Arabidopsis thaliana: one gene and its partners. The protein of the gene in region 3 interacts with the protein of the main gene of each other region in a pairwise test. Each region holds a gene or a part of one and is shown on either strand. Other genes may lie near its edges.

Evidence for each region.
Region 1: the proteins of AT4G38250 (region 3) and NLM1 interact in a two-hybrid assay, tested with the Arabidopsis thaliana proteins (one large-scale study listed by BioGRID).
Region 2: the proteins of AT4G38250 (region 3) and VAP27-1 interact in a two-hybrid assay, tested with the Arabidopsis thaliana proteins (one large-scale study listed by BioGRID).
Region 4: the proteins of AT4G38250 (region 3) and AT1G27300 interact in a two-hybrid assay, tested with the Arabidopsis thaliana proteins (one large-scale study listed by BioGRID).

Annotation. Positions count from the first base shown.
Region 1 is NC_003075.7:10,419,152-10,427,067, reverse strand, and holds NLM1 (NOD26-like major intrinsic protein 1), read left to right. Parts: upstream 1-3,559; 5' UTR 3,560-3,658; coding exon 3,659-3,826; intron 3,827-3,938; coding exon 3,939-4,163; intron 4,164-4,587; coding exon 4,588-4,806; coding exon of another isoform or gene 4,807-4,857; exon of another isoform or gene 4,858-4,957; coding exon 4,958-5,019; coding exon of another isoform or gene 5,020-5,023; exon of another isoform or gene 5,024-5,123; coding exon 5,124-5,340; 3' UTR 5,341-5,547; downstream 5,548-7,916. Other genes in the region: CMT2 (chromomethylase 2), read right to left, coding at 6,132-6,297, 6,402-6,505, 6,590-6,659, 6,743-6,786, 6,972-7,073, 7,151-7,269, 7,385-7,472, 7,548-7,634 and 2 more. UniProt on the Arabidopsis thaliana protein: Water channel probably required to promote glycerol permeability and water transport across cell membranes.
Region 2 is NC_003074.8:22,396,400-22,405,286, forward strand, and holds VAP27-1 (vesicle associated protein), read left to right. Parts: upstream 1-3,710; 5' UTR 3,711-4,137; coding exon 4,138-4,237; intron 4,238-4,324; coding exon 4,325-4,395; intron 4,396-4,479; coding exon 4,480-4,561; intron 4,562-4,661; coding exon 4,662-4,777; intron 4,778-4,885; coding exon 4,886-5,041; intron 5,042-5,102; coding exon of another isoform or gene 5,103-5,122; coding exon 5,123-5,176; coding exon of another isoform or gene 5,177-5,270; exon of another isoform or gene 5,271-5,513; coding exon 5,514-5,591; intron 5,592-5,895; coding exon 5,896-6,009; 3' UTR 6,010-6,325; downstream 6,326-8,887. Other genes in the region: AT3G60590 (cytochrome P450 family protein), read left to right, coding at 1,829-2,021, 2,333-3,354. UniProt on the Arabidopsis thaliana protein: Part of a membrane-cytoskeletal adapter complex that forms a bridge between the endoplasmic reticulum and the plasma membrane. Associates with microtubules.
Region 3 is NC_003075.7:17,932,276-17,939,863, reverse strand, and holds AT4G38250 (Transmembrane amino acid transporter family protein), read right to left. Parts: upstream 4,463-7,588; 5' UTR 4,332-4,462; coding exon 3,021-4,331; 3' UTR 2,796-3,020; downstream 1-2,795. Other genes in the region: GAUT3 (galacturonosyltransferase 3), read right to left, coding at 1-195, 282-422, 688-825, 904-954, 1,048-1,096, 1,196-1,251, 1,393-1,431; AT4G38260 (transport/golgi organization-like protein (DUF833)), read left to right, coding at 1,654-1,736, 1,806-1,989, 2,071-2,277, 2,354-2,545, 2,626-2,787; CGL1 (alpha-1,3-mannosyl-glycoprotein beta-1,2-N-acetylglucosaminyltransferase), read left to right, coding at 4,655-4,723, 4,828-4,878, 5,092-5,179, 5,320-5,382, 5,465-5,499, 5,593-5,669, 5,747-5,792, 5,885-5,947 and 9 more. UniProt on the Arabidopsis thaliana protein: Translocates preferentially neutral amino acids from the vacuole to the cytoplasm.
Region 4 is NC_003070.9:9,478,769-9,486,165, forward strand, and holds AT1G27300 (uncharacterized protein), read left to right. Parts: upstream 1-4,388; 5' UTR 4,389-4,555; coding exon 4,556-4,696; exon of another isoform or gene 4,697-4,964; coding exon 4,965-5,426; 3' UTR 5,427-5,600; downstream 5,601-7,397. Other genes in the region: AT1G27290 (uncharacterized protein), read left to right, coding at 3,020-3,431, 3,792-3,808; NTF2A (nuclear transport factor 2A), read right to left, coding at 5,847-5,918, 6,726-7,022.

The DNA of each region.
Region 1 (7,916 bases), 7.5 Mb from region 3:
ATATAAACGAAGAAAATCTAAGAGTGTGCGGAACTTAAAGCATCCAAAACTCCTTCATTGGCTTATCCAAAAATATATAATAAGAGTGGCATGTAAAATGTTCTAGAGTATTATTATAATTTAGTAAGTTTAACGGTTTTGACATACACTTGCATCTTTTATCTCTTAATTCGTATGACCTTCGAGATAACCATCTATGACATTTTAAGGGAACGAAATGAGAGGCACCATAATCATATTTACAGGTCGGTTACCCTCCTCATCCGTGTGATTGATAAGTGGATCCCAAATAGGATTACATGTCTTCGATTTTCTTTCAAAACTTTGTACATAAAGTTTTTTTGTTGGTCAGTAAATTTAACATGTAAAAAACAAAACAAGAAAAAGTTTAAGCAAAGAAAAAACACTCATATACAATAATATTATTTTCACCTCTACAGGAAAGAGGTTTCATTTTTTCTATTTATTAAACAAAATATATCTTATTCGGTGTAGCATTATTTATTTCAAGTTGTGAAATAAATGTAACATCAATTTTATACTATTGTTCTCGACGTGAAATCTTATCGAATTTTGGTTCCATGGTCAAAACTCAAAAAGATGGTTGTACAGATATTAAGCATATCTTAGAATGATTACCAAACATGTGACTGAAATTTGAATCAAACTTAATAGTAATAAAAATGATTTCCCGTGATCCATGGCACCTTTTAAATCAAACTTAATAAAATATTACAAGTATGTATGATGAAGTTAAAAACCTTCCTTTCTCATGCGAACATAATATATTAATATGTCAAAATATACGATGGTTTTACTACAATGCATTTCCGAAGTGCCGGGAAAATTATATATAAACTATATTCAAATATAATTTGTTTAGCTAATTGGTAAAAAAACTGAATTTAAGTGTGGTTGTGTAGACGAAATGCTCTATTTTGAGCCTTAATGTTAACGAAAAACTAGATTATATATTTTTCTTTCTACGTAACCATAACCTCGATTAATGTACGTGTACTGTTTCATTTTTTGGACCCGACAATGTCTTTCGGCTTACAAAGCTTGGCCTGATTAATTAAAATAAAATTATCTTTTCAGCAAAAAAATAATGGAGGTTTTTATTGATGATTCGAACTAATTTTGAAAATTATATATAACTACAAATTTCATATTATTCGACCAATAATTTCCGAATAAAATAAAAGAAAATTACATGTCAATCCAATTCATGATTTTAAAATACAGTTGTACAAAAGTTTTAAAAGATATTTAGCATATCTTGAATTATACAGTTACTATACATGTGACTGAAATTTGACTCAAACATATTAGTAATAAAAACGATTTCCCGTGATCCGTGGCACCTTCAAATTTAAACCAAACTTAATAAAATATTACAAGTATGCATTCTGAAGTTAGAAAAAAAAATTGCCTTCCTGGCTTCTTTTAGTTACAACTTACAAGTTCCTGATTTTGCACTAATTTGGACATAGAACCAAAATCTTATCTCATTCAATGATTTCCAAAAATTACAAAAAATTAAAATATATTTTAATTCAATTAATGGTTTTGAATTACAATATCTGCATTTTAAGAAATCACATAAGATTTTTAGATAAAATTCAAAAAACAAATTTAGATATATATTTTTTTGGAATTTCTATTTAAAACCTGGTGAAATTGATAATGTGTTTTAACATTAATACATATACTGATAAACCATTTTAGATGAAGATAATATCTATATAAAATTTTCCTTTGCATTATCTTTGATACGTAAACCAGATATATTGCAATTAAAAATATAAAATTACGGAATAACATTGTAGCGAGAAATTGTGGAGCGTCATAATAAAAAAAGTTACATAGTTTTGGTAGAAATTTTTGACATGTAAGTTGTGAACAGACCCGTTAACAAATTTATGTCTCATTTACTTTATGCACACATACTACTCGTAACACTCTCACATCGTACAAAGATATAGATCTAGCACACGTATAATAGCTTCGGAAGTCATGCTGATGAAATGATGTTGATGATGATGAATATGATGGTGTATGATTATATCATGATGGGTTTGATATCATCGATTATAATAAAGTTATGATGATGTAAAAAAGTTAATGAATTGAATCCGAGTGTCGTGGTGGAAACATTAAGTAGCCCCCATAATTCATCAGTCCATTCAACTCATTTATTTCATCAACTTATTAAAATAATATAAAATGATAGTCAATTCATTGGTTGAGTTAAGTCAATGATCTACTAATTTTGATCGACTTTGATACTCCTACATTTACATCAATGTTTCTTTTTCTTTCTGAAATATTCTTTATTTACCTTCCCTTTGCATATATGTATGTTCTCAATTTCAATTCATATTCACTCCTCCTATTTTTTTGGCACCATACATCATGCACATCTGGATCGATACGTAACATGAAAGTCTTTAAGATTTGTCTTGTCACCATTAACCAGCATACGTGTTTACATGTGGAATTAACATTGCTAATTTACTGATAATTCAAATTGTACATTATAAAGAAACTTCATTTTTTCTCTGGTGGCCCGTGGCCACAACCCTACATTCTAACATCCATTAAAGAGGGTTCGAACTTAACCTAATCTAGAGATGACATTTTGAGTATTGTCGCAAATAAAACATTCTGATCATAATTAACATTTAGTTATATGTTAGTATGGATTCAAACCTGAGGTTGATATGATCGGATCCAAACAGTACACTACATTAAGTTTACGGATCGCAATCAAGATTGTTACGTTGGCATCAAGGTATATATAAAATATCTTGAAATTTTTTAGTAATTTTTATAATGTTGTGTACATATGTACACATGCACAACTATAAGCTAAATAAAGTATGTCCGTATTACCCGCTTGGTAGTTGAAGACTTAAAGAGGCCATCATCAATTCCATCTAGTGACATTTTTCAATTTCTCATAAATGATATAGTTTATTCTATAGTTTGCATGACATAATTTTGTTTTGTTTATATGATACGAACAAATTTGGGTGTAACAACATATGACCGGTGACTTTATATCCGAAATTCAGAATTCGATATGAGATGTTCTAAATGAATACTTATGTGAAATACAAACAACGCATAAAATGACGTATATATACTTATGTGATTATAAATGAATATTTGGAAAGTAGAATAAAAATTTAAAAACAAAAAGTAGATTGCAAGTATGCAACATTTGAATCCTAGGCGCGGATGGTTATGCATGTACGACATGCACGAATGATATAGGCTCTCTGCACAACACACAAGATCAAAACAAACAAATTCTGCATGTAGCATTCTAAAATTTTCGATAAATTTTATATTTGTTGATCTAAGAAAAAATTGTAATCCCTGAAAATTGAATTTGAGACCTGGTATAGAATCTCCACAAACATAGGAATTTATTATTATTAAAAAAGCTTTATTAACAATATATCATCTTCTTCTTTTTTTCAATTAATAAACTGGTAATATTAAAATCGTCAAAGAAGTCTCTCTCTCCCCCATGTTTGCCAATAAATAGGAGATAATCGCTACCAAACTTCTCATTCTCACAAGTCATAAACAGTCGTTTATAGTTCAATCCTTTTCCTCTTCTTTGTTTCTAAAAAGAGAAAAGTCACTTATGGCGGATATCTCGGGAAACGGCTATGGCAACGCCAGAGAAGAAGTAGTAATGGTGAATCTCAAGGATGAAGTCGAACATCAACAAGAAATGGAAGACATTCATAACCCAAGACCCTTGAAGAAACAAGACTCTCTACTCTCAGTCTCTGTCCCTTTCTTACAAAAGGTTTTTACTTTTAACTCTCCATATCCAACATGTTTTACAAGTTATAAATGAAAAGACTCTGTTTTGTACCAATTCACAAGACATCTCGGTTTTATTTACGCTATGTTTTCAGTTGATCGCGGAGTTTCTTGGAACCTACTTTTTGGTATTCACCGGTTGTGCATCGGTGGTTGTAAACATGCAAAACGACAATGTCGTGACTCTTCCAGGGATCGCTATCGTTTGGGGACTCACCATTATGGTCCTCATTTACTCTCTTGGTCACATCTCTGGTGCTCATATCAATCCGGCCGTTACCATTGCCTTCGCCTCTTGTGGCCGTTTCCCTCTCAAACAGGTCCTTAACACATACACAATTACATATAGCCTTTATATAATGATCGATCAAGTTTTGTATTTTATGTGTGTTTTTGAGTTTCATGAACAAACTAATTAAAGAACATTAGTGTATTTTGTTTCCATTGATCTAGTTTAGCTATCGGTTGCTTGTATTGCACACGAGACTTTGGGTTATTCAAATACGTAGCGTTTTTAATGCAACGTTTACTATAGATGAGTGAAGATACGTAAGGACAAATCTACTTTTGCTAGTTTCCAAAATAAATTAAAATGTTATGTAACTTTTGTATGTATATAGTTTTTCCACACGTCCATATTTTGTTATATAAACGTCAAAATATCTTCCAAGATTGGGTCCCTTCCCTAGTTAGTGTGAACTGGTGAATTAATTTATTTTATTTTTGTTCTTTGAATTTTTTTAGGTTCCAGCTTATGTCATATCACAAGTGATAGGATCAACGCTCGCGGCTGCGACATTACGGTTGTTGTTCGGACTTGATCACGACGTTTGTAGCGGAAAACACGATGTGTTTATCGGATCATCACCAGTGGGATCAGATCTTCAGGCGTTTACGATGGAGTTTATCGTCACTTTCTATCTAATGTTCATCATTTCTGGCGTTGCTACCGATAATAGAGCGGTTAGTATTTTCATATCTTCTTATGTTGTCAAATTCGATGGCTTATATTAGTGTTATTAATTACTGCTCCCTCTCAGAAGTTACATTTGTTTTCTGTGGTCTTTAAATTTACGAGAAACTTAACATTGGGACCAAATGCTGCAATATTCAGATCGGAGAACTTGCTGGATTAGCAATAGGATCAACGGTGCTACTTAACGTGCTAATTGCCGCGTAAGTTATCAGTTACCATTTCTATTATTGTGCTTATACTTTTTTTTTTTAGAGTAAGAATTCCAAAAAATGATTTATACGGTTATGTTCATCAATTTTATTAGACCGGTATCGAGTGCGTCGATGAATCCAGGAAGAAGTTTAGGACCTGCACTGGTCTATGGTTGCTACAAAGGAATTTGGATATACTTAGTTGCGCCAACTCTTGGTGCGATTGCGGGTGCATGGGTTTATAACACAGTTAGATATACCGATAAACCATTGCGAGAAATCACTAAAAGTGGTTCATTTCTAAAGACCGTGAGAATCGGTAGCACTTGATAAGAGAAAAGAAAACATGGGTGGAGTTGATGGAGTATTTTCAAATGAATGTAACAACTTTCACCACACCTTACGTATATGGCCTTTGTATTAATTGCTACGTTTATCTCTTTTATTGTTAACGCCAAGATTCTCTATCTTGTTATTAATGTGTAACTGTATCGTATATTTTTTAAATAATAAAATTCAATTCTAGAAAGATCAAACTTTAAAGTTTTAAGCAAAATTGTTGAATATGTAGAATTTGGAATTTGTCAAAGGAAAGCACAAGATCCGGAGTCACAATCATTTGCCTAGTGGGGCAATACTTTTGTCCATAGAACTTAAAAGCCGGGCACGGCACGTGTTGGTTTGACCTGATAGATCAAAACTAAACATCATCCACCACATACCAATCTCTAACGAATGGCACACATCCCAAATCATTCACCTCATATTTTTCTCATGCAACATCAGGAAACTTTTCATTTGTGATGAATAAAGAAGAAAACAATGAGGAAACTTTTCATCCACTAAAATGTGAGAAAGAAGACCAATTATTATTCATCTAATTACCCAACAAAGAATAAATTACATATTAGTTGGCTAAAATAAGATTAATTTTTGAAGAATTTACTAATCGAAAAATCCTAATCAAACCGAAATTTCGATCGAGCATAGTAGACTGAGCTGGCCAGCCGCTATGATGTCACAATTCACTAACACAAGGAAAAACTAAAGAACAAAATTGATCATTTTGACGAAGCCTCATGGAGAGGAACTAATAACAAACTTGTTTAATGTCCTCTGCTTCAATGAGGAATGGTTTCTTGAAGCTGAGGGTAAGTTGAATGCGAAAAGTTTTGGGGAAGTTTTATAAGATGCTCGTCGCGGGCTAGACCACGAAAAGCCATACCAAGCGAATAACCTAAAGCACGAGAAACCGAGACTGCCACTGCATTTCCAATCTGACAATACCTGTAGATAGTGAGAAGAAGTGAAATGATATTCGCATTTGCTTAGTAGTCTGAAACTATTGTCCTGGTTCTTATAATTTTTTCCAAATGAACAAAAGCAAGTACCTTTCTTTAATGGTTCCACAGAACTGGAAGTAATCAGGGAAACCTTGAAGCCGTGCAGATTCTCTTATGGTTAGCACTCGATCTTGCTCAGGATGCAATAACGCCTGCAAATAGCAAACTTCTTATAGAAACTTTTAAGAATTTAAAATATGGTATTATGTTAAAACCTGGAATGGCTTTGAGGGTACCTGACTGTGGCATGTTGGGACTGTTAGAACGGTTGGAACAGTTTCATCCCACCAAAGACGAGCAAACGGTCTGCGAATTTTATAAATCCAGAGAGACTTAAAAACATGAAAGCTTCAACAAATAGTTTCAGGCGGAGGAGTGTAAGAGTATACCTTTTAGATTTCCCTTGCTGAAAAGTAAAGACGTATCCTGGTACCTAAGGAGGGCCACAAGTGAGCTGATTCAGTACACATATATTAATTTTTGGGATTATGAGAACTGTTGACAGCAGACTTAACAAGCAGAATGACATTAGCTTGAGAATTTCAGCACTAATGTGTAGTTTCATCGATAACTCATGTAATTTTGGTATGGCTCAGTTCATATAAGAGGATTCTTTACCAAAGGCTTTCCTGATGGCAGAATAACCGGTTCCATTGATGGATCACGACATACTGTATTGTTTCTGACGATTAACCCCGGAAGATCCCTGAAATTAGCTCCCTGCAAACACTTCTCTCGACATGAGAATCTTTCGGCTAGAGGATCGGGATTGTTAATTAGTAAAACGAAATGAGTACCTTCCTCTTGGGGATTTGGCAAACTCGGGCATAGTCGTCTTCATTTATATGGAACGGCCTGTGATCATGCAGTAGCATTGTTCTTTTGTTACAGTTATCAATTGCAGAGCCTGTCAAATCTGACATAGCAAAACACTAACGCGTGAGCTACCATATGTAATATGCAAGTGGTCATGGCTTATCAGACAATTGTTGTGAAAGAGACCGTAACTACAGAATCCAGATCCAACTTACCACGTTTGGTTGATCTAATGTACCTCTGAAAATCTGTTTTTGGGAGACTTTCATAAGGCAATTTCTCCCGGTCTTCATCGTTTGATACCTAGATATGTGAAAAGAAATTATAAATATATATTAACCCTGAATTGCAGATGGATCTAGTGGAAATGAAACATACATGAGGAAGATCTGATATCGCATCTTTTAGAACAAGAGCTTTTTCAAGTTTTCTGGGTTGGCCTTCAGCATAAGCAACTACATTCCTCTGAAACATGAAAGCCAAGGTGGCTTAAGTTGGAAGAACGACAGGCTTAATGAAAAGAGTATAAGATAAGTCCCAATTTACAATTTGATTACCTCGAACTCAAGTGGAAGCCCATATCTGACAATAACATCATGCGTTGGAAGCGGAAACGGAGGTAGGTTCTGAAATGAAATACCAAATAATGTAAGTATGAAACCGTCACCTCGAGGAAGTTAATAGGCCTATAAATTCACCTTGTTTGGAACAGCTCCCCACATGAAAACTCTGGATCGAAATTGGGAA
Region 2 (8,887 bases), on a different chromosome or scaffold from region 3:
TTTAAACTATGACTATAAGCTATCGTTTTCTTTCTCTTAATTTTTTTAATATAATTTGTTTGTAATCTTACATTATATTATTTAAAACTGATAACAGAGAAAGAAGAAAACAAAGGAGACAAATCACATTGGGTGTGGTTTAAAACAGAGAAGCACAACGAAAAGATGTTTGGTTGGGGCGTGATTAAAGTGTCTCTCTGACTCAATGCACCAGTTTCAGCTTCAAGTCTTCTTCATTTAATTTTATTTTTCTAGTTAAATGTTTTCGACTTCTCCTTTTTTTGTTTGATTTTCCTAACTTCAGTTTGTTTGATTTAATGAAAAAAGAAACCTCTAATAATGACTCACTAAAGACAACCACCGTTATCTCTCAACAAGTCAACATAGAAAAAGTTTCAATACAAGATTCTATTTGGAAAACCAACTCGTTTGTTAGAAATTTACATTAGTTATCGAGAACAAATGTATATATATATATATATATATATTAATTTGAAAAAGAAAAAAAAAAAAAACAGTGACTCCCACGTAATACGCTAAAGCTTAAATGGTCAACTGATTCATAAAGTAACTTTCAAGAACATTAACCGCTTTGAATTACGACTTACATTGTGACTCAAATAACTGAATCAATTGATTAATGGATAACGTGTACATGCTTTAATACTTGGACCAGTTAAAATTCTAGTAGATACGATCAGTGACATGAAATGATAAAAGTTTTCAAAATGAAAAAAAAACGACAACAAAATAACAGAAGTGGCAAGAAAAAGGTCTGTAATATACTAATATAGGTAAAAAGATAGAGATACCAAACGGTATTAATTTTTTCTGATAAACAAAATATGTGGTACATTATGGATACGATAAAAAAAAAAGTCATCATCAATCAAAAAAAAAAAAAAAGTTTAATGAACAGTCAACTAAATCGGACAGCTCTCTAATATATACTTTTACCTGTCTTATTGTTCCCATACCCCAAACTAGACTAATTAGAACTTGTTTTAATAGTAAAATTCAAGTTTTTGTCTTGCAGTTTTCTTTCGAGTCTCAAGTTCAAAAGGACTAAAACGGAGGAAAAGATGCATGCTTCTCAAAATTCCGTCTCTGTCCTGTTTTCTTGAAGTCACGTCTCAACTCTCAAAGTCTCCTTTCCCAAACCCTAAATTCTTAGTGTACCAAGCGCAAAATCGTTTCAAAATACCCTTTTTGTAATAAAAAAAAAATGTATGCATAAATGAAAAATAAAATAATACAAAATCATGAATTAAATCATAGTAAGAGATTCCAAATTAAAAGAAAACAAAAACTCATAAGTAACTTTTTACATGATCCATTCTGATTGTAAATCTCGATTATGAATTAGTGCAATACAAAAGTTGGTAGCCAAACAAATGGTTTCAATAAGTCTGGTTTTTGGATAGTGTCGTGACTTGGTAAAGTAACATTTCACTAGATTTGCTTGTCCGAAGCCAATGAGAATGACTCACTTTTACATTTCTGTTCACACCATCATTATTATCAAAATCTCGTTATCATTGTTACTACCATTCCATACGTACCTTTAATCCATACGACCAAAATAATGCATAAACTCCCTGCAGGGACAAAGAGACGTCGGAAAGTACGAGATTAGACCACTCCAACTGCCAAAAGAACTACGCGGGCTAAGACGTTTCATTTGGCAGTGACAAAAACAACGTCAACGGTGAACAGTGCCACCATGGCCATCGTCTTAGCTTTTTGAAGACACGTAAATCCTCCTTATCAAAAATTATAACAAAATATAAACATAAGCTACCGATCTATAGTGGGCTTTTTAAAAAGGATGGGCCGACTATTCAAGTTATCAACACGTCGTCGTATAATCATAGTAGCTCTTTGTATTTTTGTTCCGGACATGATTATCTTAGTATCCAAACACGTCACATTCAAGTTTATTCTAAAGATTTTTCTCTCCGGAGACGTTAAGAGAAGAAACAGCCAACGGATTAGGGATCTTACCGTTCTGCGATTCGCCGGTGAGTGTTTTTATTTTATTTTTCCGATTTCATATCGGCTTCTTACTCTTTAATTCGATTTCCTTATATGTTATCGTGATTACCTTCCCGAGAATTCATGGTAAAATTGATCGGTATATATTTTGATAATCGACTTCAATTTGGTTTATCCCTCCTTATGCTTAATTGCTTCACTTACCGGTTTTGATTCTGACTTGTATTGATTTGATATCGATTATCCGGTTTAGTAGCTTCAAGTGTTTCCCCTGTGTCCATGTATCGTCTTGGTCCTGATGATTTTGAAATGTTCTGTTTTGTTTGTTTATGTTAAGAACAGAGTTTGAAGCTTTTTTTAGAGACTTCAATGGTGAGCCAAGGAATGGTATCTCTTACAAAGTCTCTATGCACTATGACTCCAAGAGTCCGTCTCAAGAATCCGAATATGTTGCAGAAACTAAAGACTGGATCTTGTAATTTCCGTTTCAGAAATCTCCGTGTCTTATGCACACCAAAGCTGTCTCAGTGGGAACCGTCACCTTTCATTCATGCTTCTGCAGAAGAAGCTGCTGATATAGTATTGGACAAAACCGCGAATGTGTTCGAATCTATTGTCTCCGAGAGTGCAGAGGAAGAGAAAGTAGATATGTCAGCGCAACAACGAACTAATTCTCAAGTTCAGGTACTTAAATGGCCAATATGGCTTTTGGGTCCATCTGTTCTCCTCACAAGCGGTATGGCGCCTACTTTATGGCTTCCGTTGTCATCGGTTTTTCTCGGTTCCAACGTGGTTAGTCTACTTTCTTTGATCGGTCTAGATTGCATTTTCAATCTTGGAGCAACCCTTTTCCTCTTAATGGCTGATTCTTGCGCACGTCCTAAAGACCCATCACAGTCCTGCAACAGCAAACCACCATTTAGCTATAAGTTCTGGAACATGTTTTCACTCATAATCGGGTTTCTAGTCCCAATGTTACTTCTCTTCGGATCCCAATCTGGCCTTCTCGCTTCTCTCCAGCCCCAGATTCCTTTCCTCTCGTCCGCTGTTATCCTCTTCCCGTACTTCATTCTCCTTGCTGTTCAGACATTAACAGAGATCCTCACATGGCACTGGCAATCACCGGTCTGGCTAGTCACACCAGTTGTCTACGAGGCTTACCGAATCTTGCAACTGATGAGAGGGTTGACACTTAGTGCAGAGGTCAACGCACCGGTTTGGGTGGTTCATATGCTTCGTGGGCTTGTCTCTTGGTGGGTATTGATCTTGGGAATGCAACTCATGAGAGTTGCTTGGTTTGCTGGTTTTGCATCTAGAACAACAACAGGTCAGCAACCACAATCTGTTGCTTCTAAGTAAAGACAGATAAATGTTTCTTCGTTTAGTTTTTAAAGTCATGTCAAAGATTTGTAACTCTTTCTTCACTGTATAGCTTTTATTATTCGTGGGTTGGTGATAAGGATTAAAAAAAAACACATATTCTTTATGATCATATTCGCTCTTTTAGTTAGGTATGTGATGTTATTCATTTCAATATTAAAGGCTGATAGGTTGACGTTAAGGTTGAGAATATGCAAAGGTTGACACAGATTCCTGTCAAAGAAAGACATTTAAGAATTTACGAAAAATGATGAAAATGTTTCTCTTAAGAAAGTAGAGCATAATGTCGAATAAGACTAGTTTATATGGTTTTGTATTTTTACTAAGTCATGTCAGAAAGAAGAAGAAAAATATATGTACTGTGTTATAGCCTTATAAGTAATAGGTTTTTGCATTTGGTGAGTACTTGGTAACAGTAAAAAAAAGAAAGTTATACGTTACGTTGTGAAATATGATCAGATTATAATGTATATTCTTTACTTTAGTTGAATTGTTGTTGTTGTAATTCATCTCCACGCGTTTGCGATTAGGGCGCGTTTGCGTTTTTATCAATTTTAAATGAATTGACAGTATTACCCTTGAGAAATGAACAAGACAAATAGCGATGTCCCACTCTATTCATTAGCTCTGTCTAATCTCTCTCGATCGACGACTGCTCTCTCTCTGAACCGGAGACGGTGTCACGGGACGAATCTAATCGCCGGGAAACCGTTTTTTTTTTCTCTCGGAAAATCGATTTGAATCTCCGGCGATCTGATCGGGATGAGTAACATCGATCTGATTGGGATGAGTAACCGCGATCTGATCGGGATGAGTAACAGCGAGCTTCTCACCGTCGAGCCTCTCGATCTTCAATTCCCTTGTAAGCTTTATTCATAACTCTTTCAATATTTCGCATGTCTTATTGCCCCAGATCTATGTGTTAAGCTTCTTCTCTGATTTGATGTAGTTGAATTGAAGAAGCAGATCTCTTGCTCTCTCTATTTGACGAACAAGACCGACAATAATGTTGCCTTTAAGGTTATAATTCTCTTATTTAGCCTTATCAATTTTGGAATCGAGAAAAATTGTTTCGTGTTTCTGAGGCTTCTCGTGATGATTTAGGTTAAGACGACGAATCCGAAAAAGTATTGTGTTAGGCCTAATACTGGAGTTGTTCTCCCGAGGTCTACTTGCGAAGTTCTTGGTCTGTTCTCGATTTGTGTTTTTTTTTGTTAATTTCGATTTGCTAAATTGGTTATTGGATTAGGGAATTTGATGAATTCTTAATGTCTGGTTTGATATAGTGACCATGCAAGCTCAAAAGGAAGCTCCTTCCGATATGCAGTGCAAGGACAAGTTTCTGCTTCAAGGTGTGATAGCTAGTCCTGGTGTCACAGCCAAGGAAGTTACTCCTGAGATGGTATATTATTATATGGATGGTTACAGTTTTCATATGGATGGTTACAGTTTGGTGTTGGTTTTACTTAAAAGCAGTATTTTTCTTGTTTCTTGTAATGAAATTTTGCAGTTTAGCAAAGAGGCTGGACATCGAGTTGAGGAAACTAAACTGAGAGTTACTTATGTTGCTCCACCACGACCACCATCACCGGTTCACGAAGGATCTGAAGAGGGTTCTTCACCCAGGGCTTCTGTCTCAGATAATGGACATGGTTCTGAATTTTCGGTTAGTACATGTTAACTTAAGTTTAGATTTCAGTTTCTCTGGTAGACATATTTATATGTAGATTTTCATGTTTAATTTTAGTTTGAGAGATTTATCGTGGACAACAAGGCTGGACATCAAGAAAACACATCTGAGGTATTTTTCACAATTCTTCCAAGTTTGTCACCGTCAAAACCATGTGACATCATCTTTTGCTTTTGCTCTGTTTAAAACTGATTTTTGGAGGTAGCTTTACTGGAAAGTTGCCTTTTAGGCTGATTTACTAGGTTGAGAATCTTTCTTTATGTTGATTACTTAAAAGGTTCACTACATTTTTAGAAGCCTGTCCAGTGCTCAAGCCGTCCATTAATTGTCTTTTTGTGCACCAAATCCTCGTAGATGTTATTTTGACACAGTTACCACTTACTATACACTATTTTGCTTCAGTCATTCTACATTATTTCTATTACCGCTGAATTTTGTATGATTTCAGGCGAGGGCACTCATTACCAAGCTAACCGAAGAAAAACAGTCTGCCATTCAACTGAACAACAGACTTCAAAGAGAACTGGTAAAACAACTCTCACTTGGATCCTTTATTATCTCTGAATCTCCTCCATGCTCTTGTTACTTTGATGATTAGCAATCTGTAGCGTTTGTAGTGTTTTTCCATGGTTTTGAGAAGGTATGCTTAAAGTCATCATTTGTTTTTGTGAAGAGATGCTTTAACTTATCTTTTGCATTGGCTTCTGTTTCCATGGTTGACTTATCTCACCATACCATTAATCAAAACCAGTCTTGTATGAATATTCCACAAGCTTAGTTTAGAATCTTGAGATTGTTTATCTGACAAAGATTTTGGTTTGATGTGGCAGGATCAGTTAAGGCGTGAAAGCAAAAAGAGCCAAAGTGGTGGTATCCCATTCATGTACGTTCTTTTGGTCGGACTCATCGGTCTAATTTTGGGATACATTATGAAGAGGACATAAACCACCCACCTTGAAATTAATCCCTCACCCGCCACGAAGGAAAAAAAAAAGACTTTTAACTCTTTTCAGTCGGACATTTTTTTCTCTTCTGTATTTGTCAATTTCGCCTTAAAAAGGTGTCCTAGAAGATTTGTGTTTCGTAACTCAGTTTGCTATGTTTTTTTCAACTTTTGTAATCCAAATGACTTTGCGTTGGTTCTTTCTCCACTAATTCTCTTATATTTCTTAACTTCATTTTCCATCTCAAACCTTCCTCCGTGTCTGCATTAGTCAGTGTATGTATATGTTTGTTCCAAATGCTTTTCTCTTCCTTTACCACATAATTTCTTACATCAATATTGAACAGAGATGAACTACAACGGCAATGTTTCATGCTTATGTTTTTTACTGATGAGGAAAGAAAGAGCTAAATCATGTGCAACTTTTAGTATCTTCTTCTAGTTTCCATCTAAGAACCATGGACTTGGACAACGAATAGACCAACAAGACTCGGTTCTCCATTACCCTGTTGCATCTTCTTGGTTTACTATTCATTTGTCCTAGTCTGGTCCATACACCCGACGTGCTACACAAATAAAACTTGAAGCAAAGAAAGATACTAAATGGGAGAAACTACAAGAGAAAAGAGCGAGAAATAGAAACTACCTGGATCAGATAGCAGCGCTAAGAAGAAGAAATTTTGGAGAATTGATCAAAGATTATAGATAAAACAAATTTACGTTTTTATATGTGTTGAGAGTATAACGATGAGACTATTTCTCTCTGTTTCTTGTTTCTCTGGTTTGTTTATGATGATGATCGATGATACTAAAACGATGAGAGTACATCTATATTTTTATTTTCGTTTCAAAAAGTGATTCAAAGACTGATCAAACAAACAATGTCTTTTGTCTCTTTAGTGACCGAAGAAACCTTAAAACAGACATGAGATAGAGAAAGCAGTTTCTTTCCACCTTTGTATCATTTTTACACTTTTATTGCTCGGCTTTTCAACACTTGTAAGCTTGTATCTCTGTCTTGCATATTTTAGATCTTCTTCAGCTTCGAGAAGGTTCCTGACTCTGAGAAGTGCTTTGAGCCCCACTTCCTAATCCTAAAGCTTGCTGAGGATTGCACAACTCTATTCCCTGCATAGAAGTGAAAGCCAAGCTTGATGTCAAACCAGAGGTAGTTGCACCACCCGCATACTGCCTTTCTTTAAGCTTTTTGGCGACCTTGGCATTAATTTTAAGCTTGCTCTGAACACTGGATACTCGCAGCCTCTTGCTTCCTGCCTGTCCAAGCATTCCATAACCTTCTCCTAGTCCATCACCGAGGGAGCTCTCTTCAGGTGTACCAAAGGCCGTCCTGTTGGCCAGCTTCCTCATATCTGTTACTTGATACCTTGCTTTCAGTTTTCTTAGACGGCGACCACCCCTTCTTTTCTTCGGCTCAGAATGAGGAATAGGAAGTGGCTTAGGCTGCCTTGCAGGAGGAGGTTCTTGCCACTTGTCAATCTTCTTACGGATCTCCTCCCTGAAAGCTTTTCCACTTATCCCTAACGGATCCTCTCTAGTAGCATCAACTCTAGCTGCCAAAGTTGATTTTGCAGCCACGAGCCTGCCAGCGCGAGCCTCAAGTCCAGGAGGCGTGCTTTGGAAAATCTCTGTCTGCTCCAGATAACCCACACGGGACTGAGACGTTGCAGAAGAAAACCCAACAAGGTTCTTCCTCTTGTGGCCAAGAACTTGAACATTACAGGCAGGCATTTTAGCAAGTGCTGACAAACCTCCAGCTGTCCCCATGAGTTTGGCTGCAACAGCACTCCCAACAATGGCGGAAAGATTAGGAGCAATAGAACCCATCTTACTTTCAACAAACTCAAGGACCTTCTTTCTTGCGGAATCAAGATCTAAATCCCGATCACAAGCCTCTAACACCTTTTGCTAAACATCCTCTGGCAGTGCACTCCCTTTCGTAGTTGAAGCAGTAACTGAAATAGCCATGATAATAGCTGGAGTAAGATCAAGGCCAGCAAAATCAACAAGAGTCAAATCCGTCTCATTGCCAATCTTCTTGACAACACATGCATAGTCAATAGGGTGATGAACCAACGACTCAAGCTCTTGAAACCTAAGCTTGTACTTTTCTTTGATAAAGTTGTGGACAATAACGATTTCATCCTCAATATCAACCGAAAGCTTATTACAATCCACAATAAGCTTATACTCATGATCATCAGAATCTTTCCCAAGAGCCTCCTCTACTTTGTGCATAATATCATCATATCTCTGAGTCTTCTGAAGCTTAGAAACACTATCGAGATCATCATAGTTAAGTGTCTCTAAATCCGCCATATCCATATCCACATCTTCTTCCTCCTTTCCAACATCACCATGATTCTCGTCCAATTCTGCTTCATTCTCAGATAACTCGTCAAGGTCAGCAAGGAAAGAATCTTCAAGAGTTGCCATATCTTTCTACTTGGAACACAAACGCTTCAGTGATTCTCTTGACGAATCCAAATGAGAAATCAATCGATTAGATTCGAGAAGATAATTGAAGAGCAGCGACCGACTACTATTTATAAACTCTCTCATGTGTTTAGGTTTCAAGTTTCCTTTTTTCACATGTGTTTGGGATTCAAATTTCCTTTAAACAAAAAAAGTTAACTCGTGTTAATTTCCTTTTTTCACTTGTCGGTTTATTTGACAACTACTAAACCATCAAAAACTAATTAAACAAATTTAAATTTTAGTTACTTAACCGTCACGTAGCATCCTCTGTTCGCCATTTATTGAATTCTAGTTTCTCCGCGTAAAGGATTTGATTGTGGTTGTAACTTTTTTTCTTTGTAGATAGTGTTAGGCTTTGATCATCTTCTTTAATGGGCGTATAG
Region 3 (7,588 bases):
GTCTCTCATAAGCTTCAAGATAGCATCAGCATTTGGGCTCTCATAGTCTCTCCTCCATATACTGTATTTCCCTATGACTGAGTTTTCAAAGCTCATTGACTTCTGAATGGCTGCTTCTTGCATCTGCTCATCAGTTTCCTTTTCTTGTCGGATCAGCTCTAAAGTTCGTTGACCTCTCCTTTCCTGACGTAAAATCTGAAAGGGTCTACAGTTGTTACAATCTCAGTCATATAGTGTTAAGGCATCCAGAGATTAGAAAAGAAGGCTATTTGACAGATCACCTGCCGCTTCAGTTTTGCTGGGCTTGCAAAATCCACGTTTGGAAACTGATTTTCGCTTTCATCAGTCTGATTAGTTGTAGAATGGCTTGCATTATCTTCCATTCCAGTATCATTTTGAAATGAATCCCGTGGTATAACTAGCTAATTCCATACAAAAAAATGTCAGCAACTAGAGAACAAAGAATATGAGCAAGCTTAAGGATAAATTCAAGAAACACAAGGTTAGAACAAATGAAGTTCATGAGAGGTATTTTTTGCTCGGTGAGAAGAGTGGTAAGTAATCACTTCACACACTTTAAGTTTTCTACTATAGAACTCCATATGCCCATAGGATATACAGTTCTATTCTTAAACTGATGATCAAATCTCATTAAAACTAAAAACCAGAACATGAAATGTTTGGTACCTGCGAACCTTTTGTTTTGCGGCTAACTTGATAGGCAGGATTCTCCAAAACCCAAGAAGGTGAAAGATCCCCCATTTTCACCCTACCAAGGCGTATATTGCCGTAATGGTCACTGTATGTCGCAACTATGTTCACATCCTGAGATAACAGCTTTATTAGAAGTAGGAAGCATACAAATTGTATTCACTACTCAGAGAAAGAGGACTGCAGCCTTACTTTCAGATCTGGATCGTAGTGCACTGCAGCAGCTGAGGAAGCATACACCTCCTAAAGGCAAAAGTGGATAACAAAAACTTAATCACAGCAAAGTCTGATATTTGAACCAAATAAGTTATCTGGAGAACAAGAGGAGAATGGGACCTGTAGATTATTATCTTGCAGCGGACGATAAGCTTTAAGTTCTCTGTGGCTGCATAAGGAAACATCATGGCAAAAAGAAGAAAAGAGTATAAAAATAAAATAGAAACAGTGTAGCCAAAAGACAAGCTTCAAGGAGATGTATCATTACGGTGCTTGTGACTCTAAAATGGCTCCACCGACATGAACAGCATGTAGCACTACTACCTGCAAATCGTCGACATGTCAAAAAATTAAGGCACAATTTGATCAGATGATCCATTTTAAGAGAGTAGTGCGAATTCCAGGACGAGCTAAGTAAATATAGATAATCATATCGAACGGAGAGAGAACAATCAAGCTAGGTACCAGCGATAAAAAGGCGGCGCATGTAGAGAACGTCGTCATCTGGATCTGACTGATATTACCACATCGCCGGCGAGCTTTCTTTAAAGCAAATCAATCAATCGAGAGGTTTGTTAAAACCTGCACGTGCTGCCGTTTCGTGGTAAGAAAAACTACACGCAGTTTCTTTAAGTAGAAGACGGAGAAAAAAAAAAAAAAAAGAGACGACGACTTTGATTAGAGCAGAGAGATGGTTGGTTCGTTGGTTCGTCGGAGGAGAAGAGAATGTGCATAGCAGTATTTCTGTGGCAATCGCATCCGCTGTACCCTTTTCTTCTATTTCTCAACAGAGATGAAGATCACAACAGGTGATTCAATCCCCTCTGTAATCGTTTCCTTTGATGAGATTGTACTAATCTTTTGTGTAAATTGTCAAGGGCGACAGAGGCGCTGCGTTGGTGGGAAGACGGAGAGACGGTGGGAGGAAGAGACCTTGTTGGCGGCGGGACGTGGCTGGGCTGCACGAGGCATGGCCGTCTGGCTTTCCTCACCAATTTCAAGGAAGCCTCCTCCTTCCCTGCTGCTAAATCCCGTGGAGATCTGCCTCTTCGTTACTTGCAGGTCTACACCACCACCTAATATGCTTTAGATTGTCTCTCATGTTAGAGACTGAGAGTACTTTTAACGTTTTGGTGAGAACAGAGCGAAAAGAGTCCGGCCGAGTTTGCCGAGGAGATCCAAGACGAAATTTCACTCTACAATGGCTTTAACCTGGTTGTCGCTCATGTCTTGTCCAAATCCATGATTTACATTACCAACCGACCACCCCACGGTGACAAGCTCGTGACGCAAGTCTCTCCCGGGATCCATGTCCTTTCCAACGCCAACCTCGACTCCCCTTGGCCCAAGGTAAGTAAATGTGGGCCATTTCTCCCTTTATTTACCTTTTGCAGACTCCCCCAATTGCGTGTTTTTGTCTCTGCAGTGTCTGAGGCTGAGGGAGGGTTTCCAACAGCTTCTGGCTGAGAACGGGAGCGGTGAATTCCCGGTGAAGACCATGGTGGAGGAGGTGATGACCAATACTGTCAAGGACGAAGAAACCGAGCTACCTCACGTTTTCACACCAGAGACGGAATACCATCTCAGCTCCATCTTCGTCGACATGCAGAGACCAACTGTAACCTTCCTTTTTTAGAGTACATTGATTGTTTGTTTAACACTTTCCATAAATATTCAGTCTCACTCATGGAGATACAGGGGCGTTATGGGACCAGAAGCATCTCTGCGATCATCGTCAAGTCCCATGGAGATGGTGGTGGTGATGGTGAGATTTGCTTCTACGAGAGGCATCTTGAAGAAGGCGATTCATGGAAGGAACACACTCAACAGTTTGTAATAATACAAAACCAAAGCATTTGATTAGCTAGCCAGGCTTATTTCGCGAGCTTCCCTTGCTTGTAACATTGAGAAATCAAAACTCTCACATATGTTGTACATGTAAACACAAAACAGAAGACAGAGCTGATCTCTTTTATTCCAAACCATCAAAATACAAATACAATCACAGTTACTCTTAAAACCACAACCAATTCCATATACATAATTGCACACAAGGAGAGAAAAACCTCTCCAATCTCTGACTTCACGGACGCTCACACTTTGACAGAGAAGATCTCACTCAGGGAACTCCAAGTTCCCGACACAGCAAGAACCACACCTAGTACCACAATCGCTGTGTCTGAACTCCATTGCAGCCACCCCATCTCTTCCTTGAACACCAATAAATGAAACAATGCAGGTAACACAAAGCCTAACACACAGCAAGTGCTGCTGCCAACCAATGACAAAAAATCTGCAAAGTTTGGCACAAAAAGAGCCACCAGAGTCACTGCTAAGACGAGTACCCATCTGAGCCACGCAGAGTACATCCCGCGTGAGAAACGCCTCTCCACTATCTCAAACACTGGATTCATCATCAAGGGGAAGGTGAAGAAGAGGTTGATGCACAGTCCAAGCTGGACAACAGTGCTGACAAGTCCTGCCCCCAAGTTAGCAGTGATAATGTCCATGGTGTCCTCACCAAAAGCCAAGTAACCTAAGATACCAAATGCGATGTATATGAGAGAGATGAATCCCATGCCGAGAGCCAAGACTTTGCCAAACTTGTCCTTGTCCTTCATCTCCGATTCAAGAGGCAAGACCATTCCAACGCCTTCGAAGGAATAGACAGCGACGCCCATACCATACAAGAAGAGGGACATACCACCAAAGGCAACCACGTCAGGCCTTTGCTTGAGTATAATCATGGAATCCTCAACAATGACCACAGCCATAGCGCCAAGATCAACAATATCGGCGAAGATGCTGAGAGGAGCCAAGTGAGTGAGCGTCTTGATCGAATTCAAACCGAGCTGAAAGGGAAAGCATCCCCATATGTAGAGACTCTTAGAAGACACGCCCAGGAATTCAGAACCCAGCCTTGTAAACTGATGCCTCAGACTGGTGGGCGATTCAGGATCGGATAGATTAGCTAAAGTAGTGCCGATGAAGATAAGATATCCGACACAAAAACCAGCTTGAGACAGAATGATAAATAAGTCAACGACGATCCTCCCCAAGGAGCCGCAGACGGCGAATCCAAGGTCACCAAAAGAGCCGATCTTGGAGATGCCAGCATTGAAAGAGTCGAGCTTGCGGCGGGTATAGACAAGAAGCATCATACAGTGATGGGTCAAAACAGAGACGGAGACGAGGAGGAGGACACCCATGAGCCATCCGGTTCGCTTGAAGGCGTAAGGAAGACCAAGAACACCAGCGCCGACGACAGCGATGAAGACGTTGGCGAAGGTCTTAAACTGGCTGGAGAGGGGAGGTCCCTTGCCGAGAAGAGGCGAGTCCTCTCTGGCCGGTGGAGGTATTTTAAGGGTATAAGAGGAGGAGCTAGCTTCGTTCTGAAAACCCATCTGATGATTTTCGACCGAATCTCAGAAATCGAAGAAGATGGGGATGGATATTGGCGAATGGCGACAGCAAGATAATTGGATGAATTGCGTGTAGAGTTGGTGGACTCTCTTTTTTGGTTTGTTGTCAGAGATTTACAGAGGAAGAAGCTCGGCTCTATTTATGGATGAAATGAAATGGTCATCTTATCATTTTTACTGGGAAACGGTACCGTTTTTGTTATAACGCACGACGCCGTTTCAAACAACTTCCTTATTAGCTAGCTCCCTCCCGGCGGCAAACACCAGAAGATCCACCGGTTTTGATCTGGTTGTTTGTCGTCGATATGGCGAGGATCTCGTGTGACTTGAGATTTCTTCTCATCCCGGCAGCTTTCATGTTCATCTACATCCAGGTCAATCTATATCCGATGATCTCGCTTTTTGAAGTTGAAACTGAAATTGATTCCATCGCTGCAACCTAAATCTGTCTGTAATTATCCTCTCTTCTCTTCTCTAGATGAGGCTTTTCCAGACGCAATCACAGTATGCAGATCGCCTCAGTTCCGCTGTGAGTTTCTACTTTTACCACTGCCTTTTGTCTTTAGACCATTGCTACTAGTTCCTTTTGAAATCCCATTTTTTGGCTCTTTACAAGCCCATGAACTACTTTCAAGAAGAAGACACTATCTGCACTATTACACCATATCATTGCCTTTGGTATTTCGATTTTTTCCTGGTGTGTGATGAAGATCTATACACAGCCTTTCATTTGTTTCTCCAGATCGAATCTGAGAACCATTGCACTAGTCAAATGCGAGGCCTCATAGATGAAGTTAGCATCAAACAGTCGCGGATTGTTGCCCTCGAAGGTATATCCCCTTCTTCTTTCCTCATTGGGACTTGTGGAATCCTAGATGACCATGGTTCTTGGAACCTATTGAATACTATACAAAATTAACTTTCTAAATGGAGTAGAAGACTTATACATTGATTTCTGAGTGTCTTGTAGATATGAAGAACCGCCAGGACGAAGAACTTGTGCAGCTTAAGGATCTAATCCAGACGTTTGAAAGTGCCTTACTATCACCTGTAAAACTCATTTTCTTGCTTTCTTTTTATTAGTTTTTCTACTAATGCTTATTTTCTTCCTCCAGAAAAAGGAATAGCAAAACTCACTCAAGGTGGACAGGTCTGGATAAGAAGATGCCTTTCTTCGTATTTGTAACTGCTATCACTTGCTATATATATACATCTAACCTGTTTCTTGTTTTTTATTTAGCAGATGCCTGTGGCTGCTGTAGTGGTTATGGCCTGCAGTCGTGCAGACTATCTTGAAAGGACTGTTAAATCAGTTTTAACGTGAGATACTATACTGATTTAATTCTTATACCACATTTTGATTGAACTATCTAATGGCTATTTCTTTTTTTATACAGATATCAAACTCCCGTTGCTTCAAAATATCCTCTATTTATATCTCAGGTACTTAATTTGCAGGGTGGTGGTCTCTTAGACTGTTTTATATTCAACGAATTACTAACCATGGTCTTTTCCAACGACATATTTTCTGACAGGATGGATCTGATCAAGCTGTCAAGAGCAAGTCATTGAGCTATAATCAATTAACATATATGCAGGTAATTTAATCTAGCGTGATTTTTCTCCTCACTGTTCAAGTAGATAAATGAGGATGAAGGCTCGTTTTCCCCTTTTCAGCACTTGGATTTTGAACCAGTGGTCACTGAAAGGCCTGGCGAACTGACTGCGTACTACAAGATTGCACGTAAGGACTGGTTTCTCTTTTCTCTGCGTCCCTCCAGCTCCATTACTGAAACACTTTTTAATACAGGTCACTACAAGTGGGCACTGGACCAGTTGTTTTACAAACACAAATTTAGTCGAGTGATTATACTAGAAGGTGGCGCTTTTTAACCTTTCACACTCATCGTACCTTGCTGTTGTATTGTTTAAGAGGGGCTGTCTTTACCTTGTGGAGTATTGCTTAAGAGAGGTTATCTTGTCTCTTTAACAGATGATATGGAAATTGCTCCAGACTTCTTTGATTACTTTGAGGCTGCAGCTAGTCTCATGGATAGGGATAAGTATGTTACCTACTGAAGCTAGACTCTTATAGTATAAGTTTCCACAGAGTATACAAATGTTTTTATTACTGTTTCTCATTCTTTTCTGGTCCAAACATGTGTTAGAACCATTATGGCTGCTTCATCATGGAATGATAATGGACAGAAGCAGTTTGTGCATGATCCCTGTAAGATTCTTCTTCTTCTTCTTCTTTACCTTGCTTCCTCTCTTGCCTGTTCTTTCAATACCTCATTATGTCTAGCTCATGCGAGCTAAAATAATCTGCAGATGCGCTATACCGATCAGATTTTTTTCCTGGCCTTGGGTGGATGCTCAAGAGATCGACTTGGGATGAGTTATCACCAAAGTGGCCAAAGGCATATCCTTATATGCTTTTTTTTCTTTCAATCTCGATGACTATAGTTTGACGCTTCTTAAATTCTAAAAAAAAAAATAGTTTGACGTTTCTAAGACTTTTCTTAACAAATATCCACTTACTGGGATGATTGGCTGAGACTAAAGGAAAACCATAAAGGCCGCCAATTCATTCGACCGGAAGTCTGTAGAACATACAATTTTGGTGAACATGTTAGTACCCGATTATGCTATCCTATATATCATAGTTTTACAAGTCTGTTTTTGTAATGCTGTTAAATTGACCTATGTTCGCTGCATATGACTTCTGCTTTCTGTATGAAAAATGTATTATTGCAGCTTCGTCCTATAGTTTCCCGACACATGGATGTAGACAGTCAATACCACATAATATATTTTTGCATTTCATACTTATCCATAACCTTGTTATATTAATTTGGCAGGGGTCTAGTTTGGGACAGTTTTTCAGTCAGTATCTGGAACCTATAAAGCTAAACGATGTGACGGTAAGCGTAAGTGTGTTTTTTACCCCCTTTTGTTGCATCACTAGTTTTCACTGGTTTCCTATTTCATTCATAAAGGTTGACTGGAAAGCAAAGGACCTGGGATACCTGACAGAGGTAACATTTACAGAACTCCGGCCTTTTTTTTTTATACCATTTTGCATGTTTTGAGTGGAGAAATGTAGTTTTTAACCTGTTCTCTCATGTCTATCAAAGGGAAACTATACCAAGTACTTTTCTGGCTTAGTGAGACAAGCACGACCAATTCAAGGTTCTGACCTTGTCTTAAAGGCTCAAAACATAAAGGATGATGTTCGT
Region 4 (7,397 bases), on a different chromosome or scaffold from region 3:
ATCCGAGCCCGTCACCAACACCTCAAAATTCTAGCCCAGAATCTTCACCATCGTCTTCTACCTCCGCCACGTCCACAGTCCCAAATCCACCACCACCACCTCCGACAAACAACCACCCAATGCGAACCCGAGCTAAAAATCATATAACCAAGCCCAAAACGAAACTCTCCCTCCTAGCAAAAACAGTTCAAACCCGACCTCAAATACCAAACACGGTGAACCAGGCTTTACGAGATGAAAAATGGAGGAACGCTATGGGAGAAGAAATCAATGCCCAAATACGGAATAATACATTTGAATTGGTTCCACCAAAACCAAATCAAAATGTTATTTCCACAAAGTGGATTTTTACACTAAAATATCTTCCTAATGGTACTCTTGACAGGTATAAAGCAAGATTGGTGGCTCGAGGTTTTCGGCAGCAATATGGACTCCATTACTCTGAAACTTTCAGTCCTGTGGTTAAATCTCTCACAATTCGCCTAGTTCTACAATTGGCAGTGTCTCGCTCATGGACAATTAAACAACTAGACGTAAACAACGCTTTTCTTCAAGGTACATTGACGGATGAGGTGTACGTCACACAACCACCTGGTTTTATCGACCCCGATCGACCACACCACGTTTGTCGCCTTAAGAAGGCGCTTTATGGCCTGAAACAGGCTCCACGCGCTTGGTACCAAGAGTTGAGAAATTTTGTTTGCTCGTTGGGATTCACCAATTCTCTCGCTGATACATCAGTGTTTGTTTACATCAACGACATCCAAATCGTCTACTGCTTGGTCTATGTTGATGACATTATTGTCACGGGAAGTAGTGATGCGTTGGTAATGGCTTTCATCACCGCTCTTTCTCGGCGATTCTCGTTGAAGGACCCGACGGATTTGGTATATTTTCTTGGTATAGAGGCAACAAGAACCTCACAAGGTCTTCATTTGATGCAGCATAAATATGTTTATGACTTGTTGTCTAGGATGAAGATGTTAGATGCCAAACCGGTGTCCACACCAATGGCGACACATCCTAAACTTTCACTCTACTCTGGCATTGCTCTAGACGAACCCGGAGAATACAGGACAGTGATCGGCAGCTTGCAATACTTGGCGTTTACACGACCGGATATTGCGTATGCTGTGAATCGATTATCACAATTTATGCATCGTCCCACAGACATTCATTGGCAGGCTGCAAAACGCGTCCTTCGATATCTTGCGGGAACTGCTACTCATGGTATATTACTTCGCTCAAACTCTCCTCTCTCGCTTCATGCATTCTCCGATGCTGATTGGGCTGGGGACAATGACGATTTTGTTTCCACCAATGCATATATTGTGTATCTTGGCTCTACACCCATAGCTTGGAGCTCGAAGAAACAAAAGGGAGTCGCACGTTCTTCCACCGAGGCCGAGTACAGGGCTGTTGCAAACACAACTTCAGAAATTAGATGGGTATGCTCTCTTCTTACTGAGTTAGGCATCACATTACCAAAGATGCCTGTGATATATTGTGACAATGTTGGTGCCACATATCTCTCTGCAAATCCGGTTTTCCATTCAAGAATGAAGCATCTAGCATTGGACTATCATTTTATTCGCGACAATGTGAGTGCCGGTGCACTACGAGTCTCTCACATATCAACACATGACCAACTTGCCGATGCTCTAACCAAGCCATTGCCTCGTCAACACTTTCTTCAGTTTTCAAGCAAGATTGGAGTGAGCAAACTCCCTCCATCTTGAGGGGGCATGTAGAGTATATAAGTAAAGGATAGTTTAGTAAATCATTAATCCCTAATTCATTCTAATGTAGTCCCTATATATATTGTAATTATATCATCTAATGAATTATTCAGCCTTCAATACTATAGTTTGATCATGTGCTTACTTTCCCTTCATTTGCGATACTTCAAGGTTCTTGCTGCCACTGTTTCTTTGAATGCGTCACATGTTTGAACATGTGTGTTCTTTTTGGATCGAAGCTTAGCTCTTTAGATGGAACTGAATAAGTAAAAGAGGTCACTGGATAAGCTCTGTTACTAGAATAATAGGAGGGCTTCTGCTTCACATTTGTAATCCTCTCTCTTTCTCTGAATTGATGTTGCAATTGCTTGTCATCAGTATCTGTATTTCCATAGATAACTGAACTCATTAAAGGGCAACCGAAGCTGCTTCGTGGTTTATGTTTCTTCTTTGTGGGCTATTTTGCTTTGCACTTTCACTTGTTTCTTAGTTTTGGTTTGATTTTTCATACTGGGCCCTGAGCAAAACAATTTTAGTTATATGACTTGTGAAACTTAAATGGGTTTTAATCGAATGGTAACTTCATCTAATTTGTTTGAATAATTCATCATGGACCTTAATGATAATATCTTGAGTCTACTAATCATTTCACAAATCCTTTCATTTTCCAACAGCAAGTAGCCTGATTTTTGAACCTCAGCGATAGACAGCTTAAAGTGCGGTCATTCTCGCAAAAAGCTATCAGTCTTTATTTGATTCACGAACATTATACACGAAAGTCAAAATTAAATAACCAAAAAAATTAAACAAAAAGCAAACAAGAAAACGACTTCTCTGGTATGATTGGAACAAATTTAATAGAGAGAGAGGTTAGATAAGAATGTGGTAGAAGATAAGACCCAACTACGCGTCATAACTGGGTCCCATCTTTGTCTCTTTCCCTTCTTCACTCGCCAACCCCATCGCGTGTCCCCACGCTCCTTCCCTTTACTTTTTCTCGTTATCCAAAACACGACGATTCTTCATTTTAGATTTTTTTCATTAATAAAAAAAAAAAAGTCTTTTATTGCAGAAATTTCGATCGTTTTTGTTGTGTGTACAGAGAGATTATCGTGTTTTGTTGGCAATCGCCATTAAACCTTCTTCCCTCTAACCCAATCAAATTTGCGGCTCTTTCTTTTATCTTCTCGCCTCGGTTTTAGCAAACCCTTTAGTTATCTTCTTCCTCAAGCAATTTTTCTTTTGGATTAGATTGGTGTTTTCTTTTGGTTTGTGTGGTGATGATGAGAAGGCAACGAGATGAACAACAATCTAGGGTTTTCTACGATCTATCATCTCTTGTTTTGAATCTTCTCCGTTCTCCTCCTATGCCGATTTCTTTACCTGATCATTTCCCCGATCCGCCCGCTAGAATTCGTCCTCCCTTTTCTTCGCATCGTTTTTCGTCTTCTTCGCCTTCTTTGGCTCATATTTCTCCGTCTGGATTCGCGTCGTTGCTGCTTGGTATATCTGTGGCTCTTATGCTATGTGGATCTGTGACTTTCTTCATCGGGTTTCTCTTGATGCCTTGGGTTCTTGCTCTGATTTTGGTTTTCTATGTCGCTGGCATCGTTTCTGCCATTTCTATGGTCGGGAGGTCGATTCTCTGTTACGTCTTGACGCCACCTTCTCCTTCCGGAAAGGAGATTTCTGGTAATTTTGTTGAATTTTAGGGTTAAGTTTGTCAAATTGGTTTCAATGATTCAAGCTTTCTACTTTCGTCTCGGATCTGTTTAGATTTTAACCAAAGTTTCCTTATTGATCATCTAGAAATGATTCCACTGGGTTTTGGTTCTGTCCTTATTTTGATAGAAATGGAGGTTCGAATTAGGGTTTTATTGAAAAGCACACCGATGTTTGTTCTGTCTTTGACTGAAACGATATTGTTCTTTTGTTTCCTCGTGGATCATATTATTCATGTTCACATTACTTTTGTTGTCTGAAATTAAACCTATGTTTGTATTAGTTTCATGTTCTTGCAATAATGTTTGTGTTTGACATGTCTATTCGCAGAATGGAAGCTTCTGTGAAATGATTAAACAACAGAGGTGAAGAATCTATACATCATCCGGAAGCAGAGCAGAGCGAAGCAGAACAAAAAAAAGAAGAAGAAGGATTGATTATATAAACACATATATCCGATAGAGTTTTTCTATGTTCTTTATCTGTATTTTGTTGGGGGGGTTTGGGAAAATCATGTGGATATCAGGGAGTTTTATATTTCTTTACATTTCGAAAAAAGAATTTTTCTATTTAACTACTGTTAGAAATAGAGAAGCCTTGTTATTTGTGCTTTCATGTATGTCGTTTTTATGTAACATGATCATTTCTTAAAGCATACAAAAAGATTTTAGGATTTCTGTTGCACTTCTTTCGATTTCCTTGCATTTTCGAAACACTCTGTGTTGATATCTCTTCCTTTAAATCTTCTTACAATATTTGCTCATTCTTGATCTCTTTTATGGTTTTAAATAATTGTCTCTTCAAGTTCACACGGAATCTAGTGTGAATCGAGGTTTAGTCGTGCAGAGTTGTGTGTGTTATTACATGTTTTATTATTGTTTAAGTATATTTATTTAGTGGAGGACTATACGCTATTTGCACATCTCAATGTCAAATTGCTCAAAAATGGTAGAGGTGCCGTGCCGTCAATAGATGTCACGTGTCCTGACTTGCCTTCTCAATACAAACAAAAATACTCTCTACCTAAAAAAACACAATAAACAACAAACGCATCTTTGGAGCGGCGGTGAGATTAGAGAAGAAGGGTTTGTGAAATGGAGTCCAGTGAGGATGTGGAGAATCTGAGTAGAGCTATTGAGAAGCTTCTTCATGAGAAGAGGAAGAGAGAAGCTTCTGGTGACGCCTTCATTGAAGACGCTGATGATCAGCTTTTCCTCTCTAGCCTTATCTCTCAGGTACTTTACCATCGCTCTGTTTTCTCCTTTGTTGATTTATCTGATGTTGCAGCCAATCAACTTTCTGGGTATATGATTGAATCATGAGTATTTGAGTGAGTCTGTGTAATTGTTTCGCTGTGATGTGTCTGCTTCGATTTTGATGAGATCCAACAAATACAAGCTTATCTTCATGATTGTGTTTAGTTGCTGTTTCATGTCCACAACATTATTTGTATTGGGATGTGTCCATTTCAGGCTTGTGCTAATTTTTTTGCCAATAACTTAGTTGGAATCACCAAACCCCAAGGGGAAAGAAGATGTCATAACCGGAGAAGAAGAAGAAAAAGAAGAAGAATCTGCAGATTCTTCACCATCCAAAGGAAAAAGCGAGGGCCAGAGACAATTGGAAGAAAGTATAGAAGAAATAGCTAAAGACATCAAGAAGGTGAAGAAGCAGAACAAAATAACCCATGTACTTCTCTCGGCTACGATCATCCTGACATTGGTTTGGCAGCTCTCTGAGTACTCCATGATTTTCATGTTGAAAGATAGAATAAGCCACCCAGTCAGATCCATCGGAGGTATGCTTAATGGAATGTTCAAAGGTAAGTTACGTCCAATCAAGAACCAACTTGCGGGGACTTCCAACTCCAATGACCAAAACAACCATGGGAATGGATCACACACTGGACCTCAACTTCAAGTGCCCGAGCTGTTGCGAGAATTCGGTTTCGACGATGAAGAATGATAGCTTCCCTTTGTGACTCAATAATACCAGTTGTTATTTAGGAACAGGGGTCACCCTCATTGTTTCTTTGCTTTTAGTATAAGTAGTTTACTTTTATATGATCAAAATGCGAAAGAATAGTTGCTTTCTCAAACTTTTCCACATGAAAAAGGGTTCCAAAAGAGAACCGTATTTCAAAAAATCTTTTGTTTTACCCTTACTGAATCATGGTTCAGTGCCCGAAAACAAAAGGAGTCATCTCAAACAAAGTAACAAATAGCTCCATTGATTAAAATAAAAACAGACAGCAAACCACCTGAAACAAAGCTTAATGTTCCAAATCTAAAACCAACTCAAACAGTTTTTGAATAGTCCCAAACTTTCCACCACTCTCTTTTCAGCTTCCAATAATGGTTCCATGTACCTCTGGCATCAAATTCCTCAGGCATAGTTCAACCTGAATATGTCATTGAACACGTAGTAGTTTCCCTGATTCGATATCAAATGGAACATCTGGACACAAAACACAAGTATGTCAGGAATCAGGCAAAATCCAAACAACAAGCAGTCATCAGATTTATGTTACAATCATATAGTGATCCAGTGCGTGATTCACAACACAAGAGATGCATACGTAGCTCATTACAAGTAGGTCAAGTTGACAGAAATTCATCCCACTTTGCTCTATACATACATTCCACAAGTTTGATGTTCATACAAATATGATAACAAAACACAATTAGTACCTTGATATGAAGAACTAAAATGACAAAAACATCTCTTATCGAACAAATCTAGTAAAGAGCGTTCAACACTAAAAAGAGAAAACAATGTCTTACGGCAGATGATACAAACACTGCAAGCATCTCAAACTATTTAGAGTTGAGACAATTTAATCAAGAAGGTGGCATATCTACAACTACAACAAGATCACATATGAGCATAGTTGAAAAAAACTAGCAGAATCATGGCAAAGCAGTTTCCCAATACTACATTCACGAAGTGCAAGGAGATAGAAGCTCCACAAGACAAAATCTAAATGACACAAGATTACATCTACTGATCTACGCAATCATTTGGGGGAAACCTCTTTTATCTCCAACCTTATCACAGATCTATCACTAAATGCATCAGGGAGGGTCTAAAATTTCGAGACAATTCCAGATCATTGAAGCTTTTAGTGACCTAATACACACATCAATCTACAGAGCAGTAAGGATAAAAACCCTATCGTACATGATCAACAGCGAGGAATACAAAGGAAACACTAAAAATCGAAGTGATCTAAACCCAAGGGAAAGAGATAAGGCAAAAAAAAACCTGGCTGAACTTGAGAGCGTGTTGTTCACCAGCGAGCTGAAGATTGCCGGAGACAAAGACGAGCATACCACCGGCGGGACCAGAAGGCTGACAATCGACGGTGGTGATGTTGTGCTTACACTGCTGGAAAGGGAGGCCGGTGAGCTTAGCGACGATGTTCTGAGAGCCCTGGATCTTCTGGCCTTCGAAGGTCAACATGGATCCTTCTTGGTATAGAGAAACCAACCCTGGACGATTTGCATCGAAGGTGGAGTAGTAGTGCTCAACGAAAGCCTTTGCAACAGCGTCTGGATCCATCTCTTTCTTCGTCTTCCTTTTTGATCCTTAGCTCTTGCGTCGTGCTTTTTCAACAGGCGAGAGAGGATCGAGAGGGTTAGATAATTTACTGAAAAATTATACGAATGGACCAAGACTAGAGATACTGAAATGAGTGTTTGACGATACTTTAAATGGGCCTTATATTTTTCAAGTTGGGCCCGTTAATATATGGGACAATCAACAGTATAGCTCAATTGGTAAATTGACTAACTTCATTTGATTCCTACACCATTTAAAGATTTTTAATCAAATTCTGATATAACTAAGATAATATTTTAAAGCATTTAACTAACATGGAAAATTATGAAATGAAATATTAATTTTGGATAGAAAATTTAAAACATTTATCTTTGT